3 linked regions of the Arabidopsis thaliana genome follow. The main gene of each other region encodes a partner of the protein of the gene in region 3 in a complex. Each region holds a gene or a part of one and is shown on either strand. Other genes may lie near its edges.

The links. The genes of interacting proteins can lie anywhere in the genome.
Region 1: CDC2 (region 3) and MYB3R-5 share a complex: the UniProt entries of both Arabidopsis thaliana proteins name them as parts of the DREAM-like complex.
Region 2: CDC2 (region 3) and MYB3R2 share a complex: the UniProt entries of both Arabidopsis thaliana proteins name them as parts of the DREAM-like complex.

What each region holds. Positions count from the first base shown.
Region 1 is NC_003076.8:482,243-487,985, forward strand, and holds MYB3R-5 (myb domain protein 3r-5), read right to left. Parts: upstream 4,232-5,743; 5' UTR 4,106-4,231; coding exon 4,064-4,105; intron 3,694-4,063; coding exon 3,542-3,693; intron 3,423-3,541; exon of another isoform or gene 3,411-3,422; coding exon of another isoform or gene 3,397-3,410; coding exon 3,345-3,396; intron 3,194-3,344; coding exon 3,136-3,193; intron 2,838-3,135; coding exon 2,743-2,837; intron 2,646-2,742; coding exon 2,542-2,645; intron 2,455-2,541; coding exon 2,326-2,454; intron 2,218-2,325; coding exon 1,203-2,217; 3' UTR 1,180-1,202; exon of another isoform or gene 1,098-1,179; 3' UTR 551-1,097; downstream 1-550. Other genes in the region: PRT6 (proteolysis 6), read left to right, coding at 82-150, 239-310; AT5G02330 (Cysteine/Histidine-rich C1 domain family protein), read right to left, coding at 5,030-5,743. UniProt on the Arabidopsis thaliana protein: Transcription factor that binds 5'-AACGG-3' motifs in gene promoters. Transcription repressor that regulates organ growth.
Region 2 is NC_003075.7:234,047-239,338, forward strand, and holds MYB3R2 (myb domain protein 3r2), read right to left. Parts: upstream 3,537-5,292; 5' UTR 3,311-3,536; coding exon 3,213-3,310; intron 2,974-3,212; coding exon of another isoform or gene 2,968-2,973; coding exon 2,913-2,967; intron 2,838-2,912; coding exon 2,780-2,837; intron 2,690-2,779; coding exon 2,580-2,689; intron 2,494-2,579; coding exon 2,381-2,493; intron 2,279-2,380; coding exon 2,150-2,278; intron 2,081-2,149; coding exon 1,761-2,080; intron 1,686-1,760; coding exon of another isoform or gene 1,680-1,685; coding exon 1,361-1,679; coding exon of another isoform or gene 1,357-1,360; exon of another isoform or gene 1,168-1,356; intron 663-1,167; coding exon 551-662; downstream 1-550. Other genes in the region: DGD2 (digalactosyl diacylglycerol deficient 2), read right to left, coding at 4,108-4,624, 4,719-5,068, 5,249-5,292. UniProt on the Arabidopsis thaliana protein: Transcription factor that binds 5'-AACGG-3' motifs in gene promoters. Required for proper circadian rhythm.
Region 3 is NC_003074.8:18,069,868-18,075,191, forward strand, and holds CDC2 (cell division control 2), read left to right. Parts: upstream 1-1,586; 5' UTR 1,587-1,804; intron 1,805-2,319; 5' UTR 2,320-2,370; coding exon 2,371-2,379; intron 2,380-2,452; coding exon 2,453-2,637; intron 2,638-2,721; coding exon 2,722-2,842; intron 2,843-2,937; coding exon 2,938-3,111; intron 3,112-3,367; coding exon 3,368-3,531; intron 3,532-3,729; coding exon 3,730-3,817; intron 3,818-3,919; coding exon 3,920-3,973; intron 3,974-4,339; coding exon 4,340-4,429; 3' UTR 4,430-4,774; downstream 4,775-5,324. UniProt on the Arabidopsis thaliana protein: Involved in the control of the cell cycle. Essential for both G1/S and G2/M (mitosis) phase transitions. Functions in cell morphogenesis as well as cell proliferation.

The DNA of each region.
Region 1 (5,743 bases), on a different chromosome or scaffold from region 3:
TTCTTTTCCTTTTAACTTTGATGGGTACGATCTTGTTGATTCGGATGTTTCCATGCTGTTGGTCATTGAATATTGTTTCAGGATATCGATATGATCAGAGGAAAACGACTATACCTGAATGAAGAACGTTATGCTGCTTTAACTTACTTGGTAAATGTTTGTCTCAACAATCAAAAGAAGAAACTTTTGTTTGTATGGTAAAATATATAATTGTTTTGCTTGGTGAAATCCTTTTCAGGTTGGTTCTCATGGACTTGATCGCAGTTCAAAAGTTCTCGGCCAAACCACAATTGGAGCCGTCTTACATTAAACGATCTGCGTGCTATTTCTCAGACATTGATCTCTATGAGATGGTATTCATATGTTGCTTTGAAATCATCAGTTAAGATTCTAAAGATTTGAGAGCTTTTCTGATGATTTTTTTTTATTTGATTTCTGTCACTTTGGTTGATTTCTTTATTTGTGGATATATGCGATCATGTTTGTAAATAGAGTATTATTTCTTGGCAGTTGCATAATGTTTATTTTTAACAATACTATCATTGGTTAGTCTCTGTGCGCAGATTTGCATTGTTTCTTTTATTTTATTCAGGCTTACTACCTGAAAATGGTCGATAAACATCCCAATGATTAAAAAAAAAGTGTTGATTTTGAGAAGGTTTATTTGTAAAATTTTTGATATATGTACAGATTGATCCAGAGAAAGGATAGTATCAAAACGAATGTGTTGTGTTCTGATATCACTTCGATGTCCGAAAATGGAAGAATTTTCAGTGTCTTCGTCAACTATGTAACATCATATACTCAAAAGCCCTAAAAATAAAAAAGAATTAACCAAAATTCTAATCCTTTAAAACTAGTTTCTGCACAATTATCATTTTAAACGTAAACAGGACACCATGTATGTGAACGATGAAATTAAACTACTTGTGAGTGTACCTACCTACCTATTTCATTTTAGTTCGGGTGTTAGACCAAAGCCGTAGATTCATAGCTCAAGGCTGTGAGGAAGAGAATGAGAATTGTTTTTCTTCACGGTTCTCTTCCCAGCAAAGCTTCAATTCTTCTGGAACCATACTGGTTTCTTCACACGATCTCTGTGTCAACAAGGATGGAATTATTTTAGATTTGTTACTCAGATTAGTGACATTAAATAAAAGATTTGAAATTTTCACTCACAGTTTTCTAAGGGAAGAAGGGTTCTACACAGGCTTGTCTTCCTCAGACGTTTTAATTTCATTATCAGGCTGCTTCTCTTTTGCAGATGTAAACTCAATCTCATTATCTGGCTGCTTCTCCTTTTCAGATGTAAACTCAAGCTGTCTTGATTTGATTACAGCTGTTCTTTTAGCTCTTAACCGATATGGTGGAGACAAATTGAAAGCATTTCCATTTAACCCGAGTTCTTCATCATCACTGCAATTATCAGTTGTCTCCAGCAACAAACTTTTTCTCATATCTTTACTTTCTTCTTTTCGATCAACTTCCTTAACTACACCATTAACAACAACAACAGCATCTGTTTTCGCTGCCAAAACAACCTTTCGCCTTTTCCTAAAAATAGAAGGTGTGTTTGGAAAAGTCCTAGCAGCTTCTCTCAAGAAAGATTCAGGACTTCTCGTTGCAGTTAAACCACTGTCTTTATTACAGGGTGTAGTCATTAAGCTGACTGGTGATGCAGCACCGGGACTGCAACCACATTCATATCCGTACATATGTTGCAGATCCGCTTCTGATGGAAAGTAATAGTCAAGTGGAGACTTATAGTATAAATTCCCATGCTTTGGAGTTCCAAACCCGTTTTCTACTTTCCTCTGGATTGATCTCTCAAAATAAGCTTTTGAGTTGATTCTGACTTCCTCTGAAATTGGTTCCAGATTAGGCAACTGAGGCTTGTACTCAACAGGAGAGCAAGCATACTCATTGACACCGATTCTTCGTGAAGCAGCTACTTCTTCAAGCAGAGCGGAAGAAGAGTCAAAATGGTCTCTTCCAACTTCATTTGAATCTGTATTTCCTGAAGAGGTTTGGGTAAGCGAATCAGAATCCTTGAAAGGTTTAGTTGCACTAGACTGCTTGGAATCTCTGTCTCCATCAGCAATATCTTTCAGAACGATGAATTTGCTTGCTGGCGGTGGCAAGTTACCAGTTGCTAAGTAGAACTCTAATTTTTTCTTCAGTGAACTATTCCAATGGTTCTTTATGGCGTTATCAGTCCTGCAAAAAGTACAGGTAGACATCAGAAGCAAAAACTGTATGAGATGTTCAAAAATGTCCATTAACTTTATTTTTCACAAGGCCTTTTTCAACTACAAGTAAGTATACCTTCCTGGTAAAACCTTAGCAATTTCCGCCCATTTGTTTCCGTACATTCGATGAGAATTCATGAGAGCTGATTCTTCTTCTACGGTCCAAGCATCCTTTCTAATACCAGGATTTAAATGGTTGTGCCACCTGTAATCGTAAACTCGTTGAGGCTTCCAAACTCAACGGAGGTACAGGCTCTATTCTTCAGATAGTCAATATTCTAATCTTTGTTACCTTTCTCGACATTGTTTCCCAATACGACCTGGTAAGGACTTGGCGATGACAGACCATTTGGCAGGTCCATATTTTTTTACAAGTTCAACGATTTTATCATCCTCCTACAATTCACGAAAGAAAGAGAATTTTAGAGCTACCAAATTTTTACGTAAAATGAAAACCAAAAAAAGTTTCAGAACATGAAAATGATAAGAGAACCTCTTGAGTCCAAGGTCCTTTAACAAGCTCTGGATTAAGAACTTTCTGCCACCTGTGCAAGCATTGGACTTCTGTTCTCTCTGGGAAAAATTCCGCTGTAAGATGAAATACAAAAAAATCAAACAAACAGAACATTGACCGAAACCAGCTACTTTAACATTTAAGAGACAAAAAAGAAATCATGGTTCTCTTGCAAAGTGCACAGCAGAGATCATGTTTACTGAATGAGAAAAATTCACAAAATTCTCAGCAGATTTAAGATACGAGTTCAGTTTTAAAAATGTATAAATTATACATTCAAGTATACATCAAGACAAGAGTGTGATTAGAAGACCTATAATCTCATTCTAATGTATTGCAATACTACTTTTACATTCAAGAAAAGAAATTTACCTATTTTCTTCCACCTCTTCCCCTTATACTTTTCAACTGCTCGTCTAAGTGTCTCATCCTGAATAGTGATAAAAACCAATTACAGACCACAATAAGGCTAGTCTCGTCTTTCATTCAAGTAAACACTAATCCTTATACATATAAGATACATAGTCGAATGAGGTTGCTCCACACACCAACAAAATTATGAAACAAAAGCAACCACTAACCTCCTCTGGAGTCCAACCACCTTTTGCTCGTCTCATAGGTCCACTAGTCCTCCTGCAGATCAACATTAAAACATTGCAGAAACCCAAAATGAGTTCGGTGTAAGTCATCAAAGCACAGTCTTTCCAATCAATCAATTTCATAATAAGTTGTATAAACACACAGATAGAAGATGAAATGTAAAAGATAGTAAAAGTACCGAGGAAATGAAGATACTGTGGCAGGAGTTGCGATTTCAGGTGACTTGAGGAAGAAACAGCCACTACCTTCGGATGCAGAAGAGCAAGAAGCAGCTAATGGTTGCTTATTCTCCATACATTGAATCTCAATTTTCATTTCACTTCTTTCCTCCTAAAAAACCCATATAAATCACCAAATCCAGAATTTTCGTTAAAAACATGGGATTGAGCACAAAATGAACAAGAACGTATCTTTATCAAACAAATAATCAAAAATCACAAAACCCTAAAAACTCAACGGCCGCAAAATAGAAGCCAGATCTCACAAAAAAACAAGTCGATTTCTTTCAAGCACAAGATGGATGTTTAGGGTTTATACAATTCTAATCATTAGAAACCAATTCAGACCCTTTTCCAAGACCTGTTAAAACGTGTTCCGATTCAGACCTAAAACCCCATGAACTCACACCAAAGTAGACGAAGATAACAATCTGATCACAAAAAATGAAAAGCCCTAATCAGATTTCAGGGAAAAATCTGACCTTTTCCGGTGAACAAACCGGTGGATTCGAACTTGAGCTCATCGTGATCGCCAGATAAGCGAATTCGCGAGGAAGAAGAAGAAGGGAACGTTAAAAAACAAACCAAAACTTATATTCGAAAAAAACTTTGCCCGTTGAACGAGAGAGAAGAGAGAAAGGAGAAGGAGACTAATTGGGATTAAAACAAATATTGTAACGAATACTTCTTCCGCCGACGTAACTGCTAACTGCCGTTAACCTGGAACCGGCCGGTTTATTCCAAACCGACTCAAAAGAATTGGAAGAAGCCGGTTAATTGAATTGAGAAAATGAATGTTTTTTTACGAAACTTATTAATGTGACTGGGCTAATTAATTAATTATAATATTCTTTCGGATAAAAACGAAAACAACGAGTTTAATTCGTGGTTGGATAAAACCGGTTATCTAAAATCAAACTATAACCGAAAATGGTGACAAGAAACCACAGGGGGACTTAACGGACGTTAAAAGTAGAAGAAAGGTTGACGTTGGAAATAAAAGTTTCAACCTCAAACGGCACTCTTTAGCTGATGCGTTGACCATTGTACACGTCGGCAAATCAGAGGTCCTCAATGATTATGGACCGTCGGATCATTAAGATAACTCATTCTGGTTTTTTTTTTTACTGTAGTTTCTTAAGCGAGAACAGTCCGAATTGGCCCATAATTTAAAGCCCAAAGGCCGAGATATAATTAATCAGTCGAGGTTTTTGGGTAAGAAGAAGATATAGAAAATTACAATTCGTTTTAGTAAAAGAAAAGATTACACAAAAACGTAAACAACCAGACAACAAGAAGATTGAGCAAATGGGGAACTAGAAGAAGTTAAGAATCCAAAAGTATTACAATACGTTTTAATAGAAGAAACATATTACAAAACGTAGACAAGCAAATGGGGAGTGAAATATAGCGAATAAGGGACGACGAAGCACCGGCGATGATGACATCTAATCCATCGAACAACTGTAAGAGCAAAATGTCATGTCATGCCAATTGAAAATTACTTTGTGTGGACAACGATCTTCTTTATGAAGTTGGCAGAATGGTCGAGTCATGGTATTGTTGGGAAGAATATAAATGTTTGACCTATAAGCCATTACAGTATGACCAGGATTCAACATATACATCTCTTTTCCAAGCAAACAATCAACATGGAGAGTGGTGCAGCAGTCATCACACGCATAGAACCCACCTTCTCTTGAGTATTCTAATTTCTTTTCGCATACCTCACACCAGTCTAACTGATCACTTCCCTCTTCCCCTTCCCGAAATGTGAGGAAATGTTTGTCAAGCTTATACTTTGCCTTGTATGGTAAAGTAGCACAACTGAAACATATAATATAATTGCATTCGATGCAATTTAGTTTTCGACCATACTTTTTTCGGCAAATTTGACAAATTGCCTCCCTTTCTTCTTTTCGGTCTAAAGCTTGGAATAAGGGATGCTCATGGCCTTGATAATCAAATGGTTCAGAAACAGAGGCACACCGTATGTCTATGCTGTATTGATCCTCCTCATAGATGAAGCCACAACTTTCACGATCACAAGCGGAACACCTGAAGTAACCTTTAAAGTATTCATTCTGTATATCAGAGACAACTTTTAGCGTAAGTGGGTGACTGTGTAAGGCATGATCTTTCTTGCGAGAAGCATTTGCACA
Region 2 (5,292 bases), on a different chromosome or scaffold from region 3:
ATACTGAGACTGCATTACGTTTTGTTTTCTAGCCCATTACGTGTCACGGTGTGCGTATCTTTTGATAATGTCTCAATCAAAACCTTTGGATTATCTTTTGAACGTAAACACACAACATCTTTTTAACATAAACGTTAACCGCAACAATTTTGTGATATCAACACTGGTTGATTTTACCAATAAATAAATAAATTATAATTGTAGAATCCTTTATTATAGAAAAAGTTGTTGGTTTGGATCTAGACATCTAGTTTTTAAATTGTGTAGTTACACTACTTAAAAATATATTAACAACAAGTCCAAAAATCTAAATGTAAATTCGATTTTACTGAAAAAAATTATATTTAATGAGAAAAATAAGCAAATTGTAATATAACAATTTTCATCTATTTACTTTTCTTTGGTTGATTATTGTCATCTATTTTAATGTTTCTTTTTTATTGCCTCAAACAAATTAGCCAACAGAGTTTATTTCACTAGACCGAATTAATGCAAATCAGAGAAAACCATAATAATAATAAAAAAACGTGTCCGATCTGTAACCTAAACACTAACGTAACCAAAACGGACGCACAAGACCGGATTTAAGATCAGATTTTTGGGGCAGAATCCTAACAGAGAAATTGACAATCCCGTTTCTTCGACCATGTTCGTCCCACAATCTGTAACTCAAACAGTGCATAAATCCCTCCGGTGCATATTCTCCCGTAAAATCCTTTACCGGCACACGTGCCGTTCCCACGCGCTTATCCTTCCCTGAACTCCGACATAAAACCTGAACGTACATCACGCTTGTCGCTTTTTCCTCCGACGAAAACTCAGTCTCTAGCTCATCCTCCCACATCGGACAATTCCCACCGACCTCGTCGACACTCGTCCTCATTGGCTGTTTCCAATAGTTCCCGGCCATGTCGAAGACAACGAAGGCGTTCTTATTCACCGGTTTTCTACCGTCGACCAGATTTTCCGCCGATACGGCCGTGATTTGGATCTTACGACTCATTACACAGAGAATGCTTTCAAGATATAAAGATTGTGCTTCCTTTTTTCTTTTCACGAGAGGAACTTGTATAAGTATATGTATTAGGGTAACTTTTTGTAAAGGCTTTTTAACTTTTTACTCGGATTAGGAAATTAGGAAGGTGATGAGAAATTACCACACACAAGAAGAGAAGCTTCTCTCTTTCTTCCTGATAAATATATCGGAAACAAAATAAATTAAAAGACTACCATAAAACCTATGTTTACTTGTACATCAAGGAAAATAAAGCAAAGTTTAATGAGTTATTATTAAACTCTATGATTCCTAAATACGAAAGCTAAAAAGCAAAAAGAAATCAAAAGCACTTTCTCTTCTCACAGAAAGTCAAAATCTAAACGCCTCTCCAAGGGTTTTGAGCCAGAGCAGGTGTTGCGTTTCACAAATCTGTATTTGGATGAAGGAGAAGCTGAAACTGAGTGATCTTCCTCACTTGACATGTGACTTCGAGCATCTGTTGGAAACGGTGTATCGTATTTTTGTCTGAGCCGTTTCAAACCTGAAGCTGGTGAGCTTGTTTTGGAGATAATGGAGGGTGTGTCGAAAGTCCTCGCAGCCATTCTAAGTCTCTCTTTCATCTCCCTCACTTCCTTTACGCACACAGTATCGTTGTTGCTGTTCTGTGGAGTTTCTAAACACGCTGAAACTTTTACATAAAGACTTGTTAACATGTGATGATCAATTGTAGAACGTATCCAATGAGATAATATTTCAGCCTTACCATTGAGTCTTGCACAAACTGAGTCTACTGATGATGAGACTGATTCTTCTCCTCTAAGAGAGCTTGTGGATGAAGAAATGCTCCTCCAATTCAGTCCTAAAGTTAAATCCAAGAAATCCCTTTGAGGACTCTTTGCAGCTTCCTTGATTTGTGATGTTATGCAACTCTCGACCATCGTGTTTCTTTGATTGAAAAAGTTGTATTCAAAACCAGAACTAGGTTTAGAACCATAGACCACACCAGAGAAGAGGTTACTAGGAAACTGCTCTAGCCTTTTCTTAACTGAACAATTCCAATGGTTCTTAATATTATTCTCCGTCCTGTTAGTTTTCACGAACAAGAAGGTTAGTTAAATCCACAACAATGTTTTCTTAGTTTTAAGGACAAACCTTCCAGGCAATAGCTTGGCAATCTCTGCCCATTTGTTGCCGTTTCCTCTTTGTGCTTGAACGAGAATTAATTCCTCTTCTCTAGTCCATGGAGATTTTATAATAGTCGGATTCAAATGATTATGCCACCTAAGACATAACAAAAAACCCATAATCAACATTATGGGGAAAATGTGGACTTGTCATCAAGTTCACAAACCAAATGTGAAAAGAAAGAAAAATGTAAGAAACCTTTCGCGGCATTGCTTGCCGATGCGACCAGGGAGTTCCTTTGAAATTTTTGACCATGGAGGCCTATCATTCTCCATATAATCTTTAACCAACTCACTTAAGAGTTCATCTTCCTGAATATCAAGAGACATATATGATCACTAGGTAATGAAACAACGTAACATAGCATATATTAAGAAAGGAATGCAAAAGTAGTTACCTCTTTTTTCCAAGCTCCTTTTTGGAGGCTTGGATCAAGAACCTTAAGCCAACGGTGCTGACATTGGACATCATTCCTCCTATTCTCTTCCGACCCAGGAAGGCATTCAGCTAAACCAAAGACAAGAGAAAAAAAACTCATATAGTGTATATTGGTTTTAGGGCAAATATTGATGGCTAACACATCAAAATATTATTTACCAATCCTTTTCCAGTTCCTCCCTTGGTACTTCTTCACAACATTCGTCAAAATTTGGTCCTGCATAAGATGGAAAAAAGGTTTCAGTGACACATTTATATAACTTGGACAAGACATAACAAGAGATATAAGTACCTCTTCGGCTGTCCATCCTCCTTTAGTTGATCTTCTAGTAGGACCACTCACTCTTCTGTATCTTTAACCACAAATCAAACATCACAAAGCAATCATAAGATCAAACCCTAATGACATATAAACATATATACTTAAAACTGATATTATAAATTTCCCACTAATCTTAATCATCACACATAAAAACCTTAATCACATATATATATAACACCCACCCCCAAATTCATCAAGTTGCAACAAATATAAACCAAACCACAAAATATAATTGAGGAACGAACAAGAGATGGACGAAGAGAAACATACCCTTTTGAAGAGTCATCAATTGCAAAAATAGGAGTAACGTCGTCGGTGTTGTTATCAGACTCGGACTCTGATCGATTTAAATCAATAGACTCTGTCATAAGTCTTTCAGAAATTGACAAAACCTAAAACCCTAAATAACAGCCTCAACTAACGAGAATATAGAAGAAAACAACGAGATCCTAAACTACATAACTATCTTAAACTATAAATTGAACGGACAAGAGTTTTTTCAATCGCAAAAAGTTCTAATCTATGAGAGAAAGACTTGAAATCGCTCTGTCGAGAGAAAGAGGAGAGACTGAAAAGGATTTGTCGTTCAGTAACGGCTATCCAAAAAATCTTTTTTTATGCATAAAGAGATTCTCTAGTCCATTTTTCTCTCTAAAATATTAATATTTAATTACTTTTTTTCTTGGTAAATGTTTTTTTTGTGGGATTAAGATTCTATATTATCTTTTTGATAATAAAAACAAAAATATTAGCAAAATAGAAAAGATTCACAAGATCTTTATTAGAAGAAAAGTGAATGGTATGCATAAATAAAATCCATGAAAAGTAAACCATTAATGCACAGGACACGAGTTACTCATAGTTCATATGTTAAATGGTTTTCTTATTAGCAATTAGATATGGCTCTAATATGAGCAATTGGCCACATAAGTGGACAAATGCGAATTCGAAATGATATGTACAGCTTCTGATTCTTTTAATGGAATCATATACTAAATTTTATAATTCAGACTCGTGTCATCATACATGTTCCACAAGATGAAAAATCTAACTTTCATCATCAATATTACACCAAAGCTGCTATAGAATGATTCAGATAGTATACATTGATTTATACACAAAAATATCCCAATGATATGCAGACAAAGATAAATTAAAAAACAGGTCAATCTTGCTTGCGAGTATTTGGGGAAGGAGTGTTGAGAGACAAACCAAGATCTCTACATAACTCTTCATCGGGCTGCAAGCTTCCAGGTATAGCACCAAAAGCTGTTCTGGAAGCTTCAAATCCAGACGCCAAGAAATGAATATACGCTGACATATCCTCCAAGTTTTTCCCCACACTAATCGAAGATGACGCAAACACACTTCTCTTTGACAAGTTCGAATCAGCTCTTGATAACCGGTTCAGATCAGAGACTTTTATAAACCGTTGTGTAGCAGCTTCCCATGATAGTTCATGCCTTTGTTGCTCTGTAAGTTGCGATGGTTGTTCCCCAAGAGCCTTGAGCGTGGCTCTTACAAAACCTTGTCCATCGTCATAGGTTCTGCAGTTGGGAAACTGTTTGAAGAACTTGTTCGATATGTGATTCGCGCATACTACTATTTTTCCCATCGCCAAGGCTTCTGCAGTTGTTGTACACACAACGTCTGTCGTGCTGGGGTTGAGAAACACTTTATAGCTGAAAATAGAAGATGGAAAAGTTTAAGGTATAGAATCCGATAGACTGCAAGGAAATCAATCAATCTTGAGGCTGTTAAGAACTAGAGACTTACTTGTGAAATAGCGAGTCAGCGTGATCACGTCCTGGGTAAACATTAACCGTCAAGTCGAGTTTTCGGGCTGCTTCTTTGATCTCTTCAGAGTCCTCTCCATCACCGTATAAATCAACCTCTAACTCGGCAAGTTCCTTTTGGTGTTTCTCAAGTAGTTTAAGAAGCTCCTTGTACCCTTTGCTCCAGACCATCTTACCAATGTAGTATGCGCCTTTAGTGAAGGGCTGCTCCTGGAGCTTCTGCTGTTCTAGTTTTCTCAACCCAATTTCGAGAAATTTAGGGTTGACGCCATGAACATTGCAGACTATAGATTTAGGGTATTCTTGAGTCGCAGCAGATAACCTGATTACCTGCAGGAGTAACATCATTGGTACAAGTCCTGATTCACATCAAAAGGACCGGCCATAATTGTGGTCACATTCCAACAAACTGTCTTGATTCTCAAATTAAACCCAGCCATTGGATATATTCACATAATTGAGCAATCACTCTATCATGTCCTAGTGGCTGTAAAGAAGAAAGAAGTTTACCTTGTGGCAGTAAATGCCAACAACCCAACTATTTAAGTATTTGA
Region 3 (5,324 bases):
AAATAGTATATTTACAAATAGAATAGTATCTCTCAAATTGCAACAACGAAACTCAATTTCATCACCAAGACACCAAGCGCAACAACGAAAGTCGATTCCCTGAATCCAAATTGTGTTCCTCCCTCTGTAATTCGAAACCCCCAAATCAAATCTCACCCAAAAGTAATTAAGAGACTCTGATTTGAAAACAAAAACAAGTAACGAGGTAGGTGTAAAGACTTTACTGGGAGAAAGAGAGAGGGAGAGGGAAAAAGAAAGAGAGAGAAAGAGAGAGGGGGAGAGAGAGAAAGAGGGAGGGAAGATAGAAGGGAAGAGAGAGGTAGACGGAAAGAGAAATGGAGAAAAATAGATAAAGGGGTAAACTTGGAATTAATATACAAAATATAGAGGATATCAGTTCTTTTTCCTTTTGATGTTAGTTTCTTAATTATAAACTTTTTGTTGGTTAGTTTTGCCAATTCCCTTACTTACAACTGATAACCGTATAGCTCTTTTATCAGAAAAAACTTTATATATCTAATCTCCCAAAATATACAAATGTGAGAAATATCTGAAAATAAATCAATTCTCACCAATTATATATATTTGATTACTTAAAAATGTTAATATATGGCAGTTGCTTGTTCAGAGAATAACTTAAAAAATTGATCACGAGATCGGCTTATGTTTAATATTTTTGAACTCTTGGGATAAAAGTTTTGAAGATATATATATCGTAGAAAAGTTTTGTGTTCTTTAATTAGTTACAAAATTTTGAGTTTTTTTTTTTTCTTTCATAAAGTATCAGAATATCAGGGTGATTTATTGAATAGTTTATTTTTTCTCGTTCTACTCACGTTATTCTTGCAAGTATTAATTTTGGTTTGTTTATAAAAAAAGTATTTGGAAATTTTATGTGAGCAAGTGCGAAATAAACGAGGATTTTGGGAAGTATTTTTTTTTTTGTAAAATCGGTTATATTGAACGTTATACTATATATATTATTATATAAATATAACTGCTAAAGACTAAATTTAGATACTAAAATCAGCATTGATGAAGATCCACATGAATAAGACTCGTCTCTTAACTCAACATTTAACATATGATTTTCATATTATTGATCATTTATCTTTGTGTTGGTCCAAGGTGCCAGACTTTATTATTTACATTAAATGTTGAGTTGTTTACTGACATATTTTTTAATTAAAACAACTTTCATATTATTGCCCATTTATATTTTGGTTGGTCCTCCAAAGACTTACAGGATACATATGTTTCTCCATTTTCATTTTTATGATCTAAAACGTCTTTTTCTAACTTAGATTCTAAATGGTTACAGCAAACCGGACATACAATTTTGCTTGTCAAATGGATCGTTGAGATAGACAACAATCCAATGTAAAACCAAAACTCTTGATTTATAATTGGTCTGCAATGATTTTTTTTTGGTTCATATACCATTTTATAAGATAGCAAACCATTTTCATCATAAAAGATATATTTTTTTATCATTGAATACCAATCAAACCCGGTATAATAAATAAAATTGTACCAAATTAATGCGGTTAGGTAAATTCAATTTATTGGAAATTAAAGAAGAGAAAAAAAAAATAACGAACAAAATTTCCTTGACACAAAAAAAAAAAAAGAAGAAAGAAAAAACCCTTACTCTCAATTAGTCAATCCCCTTCCCTAGTCCTCCTCTCTTCAAGCTTTTCACAGAAAACCACCACCCTTCTCTCTCTACTGCCTTTTTACCACAGAGAAGAGAGAGGATCCGTCGGTGTGCTAGTCTCACTGACACTACATCCGATCGTCGCCGGTAAGTTGATTTCGTTACTCTCCGATCAATTTCTTTTCCGGAGGAGGAACTTGTTTTCCGTGCGAAATTCTGACTTGAACTTTGTTGTCAATTCATCAAACGCTTTATCTTTTCTCCATCTTCAATTATCTTACTGCTTCGTCGCTGATCTCTACTTGTTTTCCTCCGTTTTGCATTTTCAGTGGCGTTTCTTAGTGTTTCACTAGATTTAGACTGGTTTTGCTTGTGTGCATTTTGTCATCAGTGTTTATGATTGTTCGCTTTAGCTCTATGTTTCTATGGATTTGATAATATATGAGTTCGCTGCTCTGGATTCAGCTGGCTTGTTTGATTGTTCATTTTCATAATTCTGTCCAAAGAATCAAATCCACAGTAGCTCGGATCTGAGATTGATTTGTTTCTTTGCGTCTTTGTGTAGATTTGACTTTAATTTTGAGATTGTTGTGTGCTGATATACAGCTTAATTAATATAGCCTCTGATGTGTTATTATCGATGTGTCATTATCAATCTACAGGTGACATTTTATAAGTGTGGAGTTTACTTCAGCTTTATTATTCAGGAATTGATGGATCAGGTTGGTGTAAATAGTTGTTTCAGTTCTTACTCTTTTGACGAGAGTCTCTGTTAATGTGCTCTTATTAATGCAGTACGAGAAAGTTGAGAAGATTGGTGAAGGAACTTACGGTGTGGTTTATAAGGCACGTGACAAAGTGACTAATGAGACAATTGCTTTGAAGAAGATCAGGCTAGAGCAGGAGGATGAAGGTGTTCCTAGCACAGCAATCAGAGAAATCTCCCTCTTGAAAGAAATGCAGCACAGCAACATTGTCAAGTATGATGTTAATACCATTGTTGAAAACTGATTCAGCATGATGACTCTGGTAAACAATTTTGATTGATGTTTTTTGCTACACAGATTGCAGGATGTGGTGCACAGCGAGAAACGTTTGTATCTGGTTTTTGAGTATCTTGACTTGGATCTCAAAAAGCACATGGATTCTACTCCTGATTTCTCCAAGGATCTACATATGATCAAAGTGAGTGCTAAGAAACTTTAGGCATTGTTTTATATATGTGCTTAAACTCAATACTCAATATAAGCTGATCAGAGCTGTTCATCCACTATTTTCAGACATATCTTTACCAGATTCTCCGTGGAATTGCGTATTGCCACTCTCATAGGGTTCTCCATCGTGATCTGAAGCCACAGAATTTGTTGATTGATCGCCGCACAAACTCACTGAAGCTTGCTGATTTTGGACTGGCCAGAGCATTCGGTATCCCTGTCAGGACATTTACTCATGAGGTACCAAAGAGCTTTATTCCTTGTTCATATGTTCCCGTTATGAAATCTTTTGGCTGGCTGCATTCCTTATGAGTGTAATGTAAATTAAGTATTATACCACTTATGTGTCTGATAAATGTGATGAAAAGGACTAAGCCATTTCACATAGACGGTTGAAGTAAGCTAGTTCAAGATACTGTAAAATATTTCAATGCTACATCCAGATTTCAGATCTCTTCCTGGTTATTCACACAATTTTTGCATATTGTTCCTTTAGGTTGTTACTCTCTGGTACCGAGCACCAGAGATACTCCTAGGATCTCATCATTACTCTACACCTGTTGATATTTGGTCTGTGGGGTGCATATTTGCTGAGATGATCAGCCAAAAGCCCTTATTTCCTGGAGACTCCGAGATTGATCAACTCTTCAAGATTTTCAGGTTTAATTGCTAACTTCCCCAGTCCAATATTCCTCTATATATTACAAGTGCAAAGACTTGTCTGCAATGATATCACAAGGGATTGTGGAAACATTTTCAACTTGATATCACATTTTGGAGAAGTAGTAAAGGACACAGAAATTGAATTGTTAACTGATTATAAATCTGTTACTGCCTTGTTTTGTTGTCTTCTTCTAGAATCATGGGAACTCCGTACGAGGATACATGGCGTGGGGTAACTTCTCTACCGGATTATAAATCTGCTTTCCCTAAATGGAAACCAACGGTACTTCAAATGTCTTTATTCGCTTGTACATCTTGTCTTCAGTAGTCAAGAGTTCACAACATATATTAATTCTTGCCCTTGTTTTTTTTTCTTATACCACAGGACCTAGAAACTTTTGTCCCCAATCTAGATCCCGATGGAGTCGATCTCCTTTCTGTAAGTTCACTGAGCTAGATATATACACACACATATATAGACACACTACTTCTGCTATTAGAGACCTGTATGCTTGATTGTGATGGATCTGGTCTCATGTTTCTTACTAAAAACCTTTTAACCATTTGAGGTTTTAGATGTCTTATAAAGTCATCAAGAGCCGGCGTACTAAAACCAATTCGATTAGGCTTCATAGTTTCAAAACCACATGAAGCCAAAACCAAACTTGTTTGAAATATGAACAATCTTCAAAAACCAGGATTCTTGAAATTCCTAACCAAACCAGACATCTGGATAGAAATCTAAGATTTTGAGCTCCTGTGAAAGCAAAGATGATAATATATCTCTCTGCTTGATTTGTTTCAGAAAATGCTGTTAATGGATCCGACCAAAAGAATCAACGCAAGAGCCGCCCTGGAGCATGAATACTTCAAGGATCTTGGAGGCATGCCTTAGAAAGGCATAAAACCAGTAATCTCCTTCATTCTATATATAATTATCAATCCTAAGAAAATGAAGAACAATATTAATGGGTTTTGTTTATTCTTTTTCTGAGTTCGTTTCCTACTTATATTCTATTACGAAAAAAAAGAAAGAAGAAGATTTCGAGTGTGTTTTTTTTTACTTCTAAGCTTTTGAGATCAGTTTCTTGTATCTTATTTTACCCAGAATATAGTATTTCCCTATATGAAATATGGTTTTTGTTTTGCAAAATGACCATATTATGCAACTTCTCAGCTTCTTGATTGTGCCTTGATAGTGATCTTTTGAAATATATCCCAAAAAACATCACTTTTTTCGATTTCATTAGTACTTATTTACGAGTTACGACGTCATTTGATAACTAGTATATATGGTCCGTCGATCTTAATTTCCTATTTATAAAGGGTGCACCGTTTTTAATGAGACAAGAGGGTCCAAGTAGCCAATCATTAATGAGACCAAAGTTGACCAGAAAAAGCTGACAAATAAATTGACGAGAAGAACAATTCAACACGTATTCGATAGTTTGGATTACATTTTACAGTTGGTCGAAATTCGAAGTAGATCAAATGTCAATAATCTAATTCGAAACTAAATGAAGGTACCTGATAACCATTTCAGTGTTAGTTAGCAGTGGTTTCAATCTATTCACTAAGCAAAGACGCTTCCATTCTGAAAATCAAGTCCAATGGGAGGCATAAACTTAAGTGTCTGAAAAACTCAAAAAAGCATAGCCTCGTGTAAAATAGACCGATCTATTTATTCATGAATATATGTATGATTATCAAAGTGCATTTATACTTTTTACGTTTTAAAATTTCGTATATAAACTTTCCTTAGTGAATATTATAACATAATTTCTAATGAA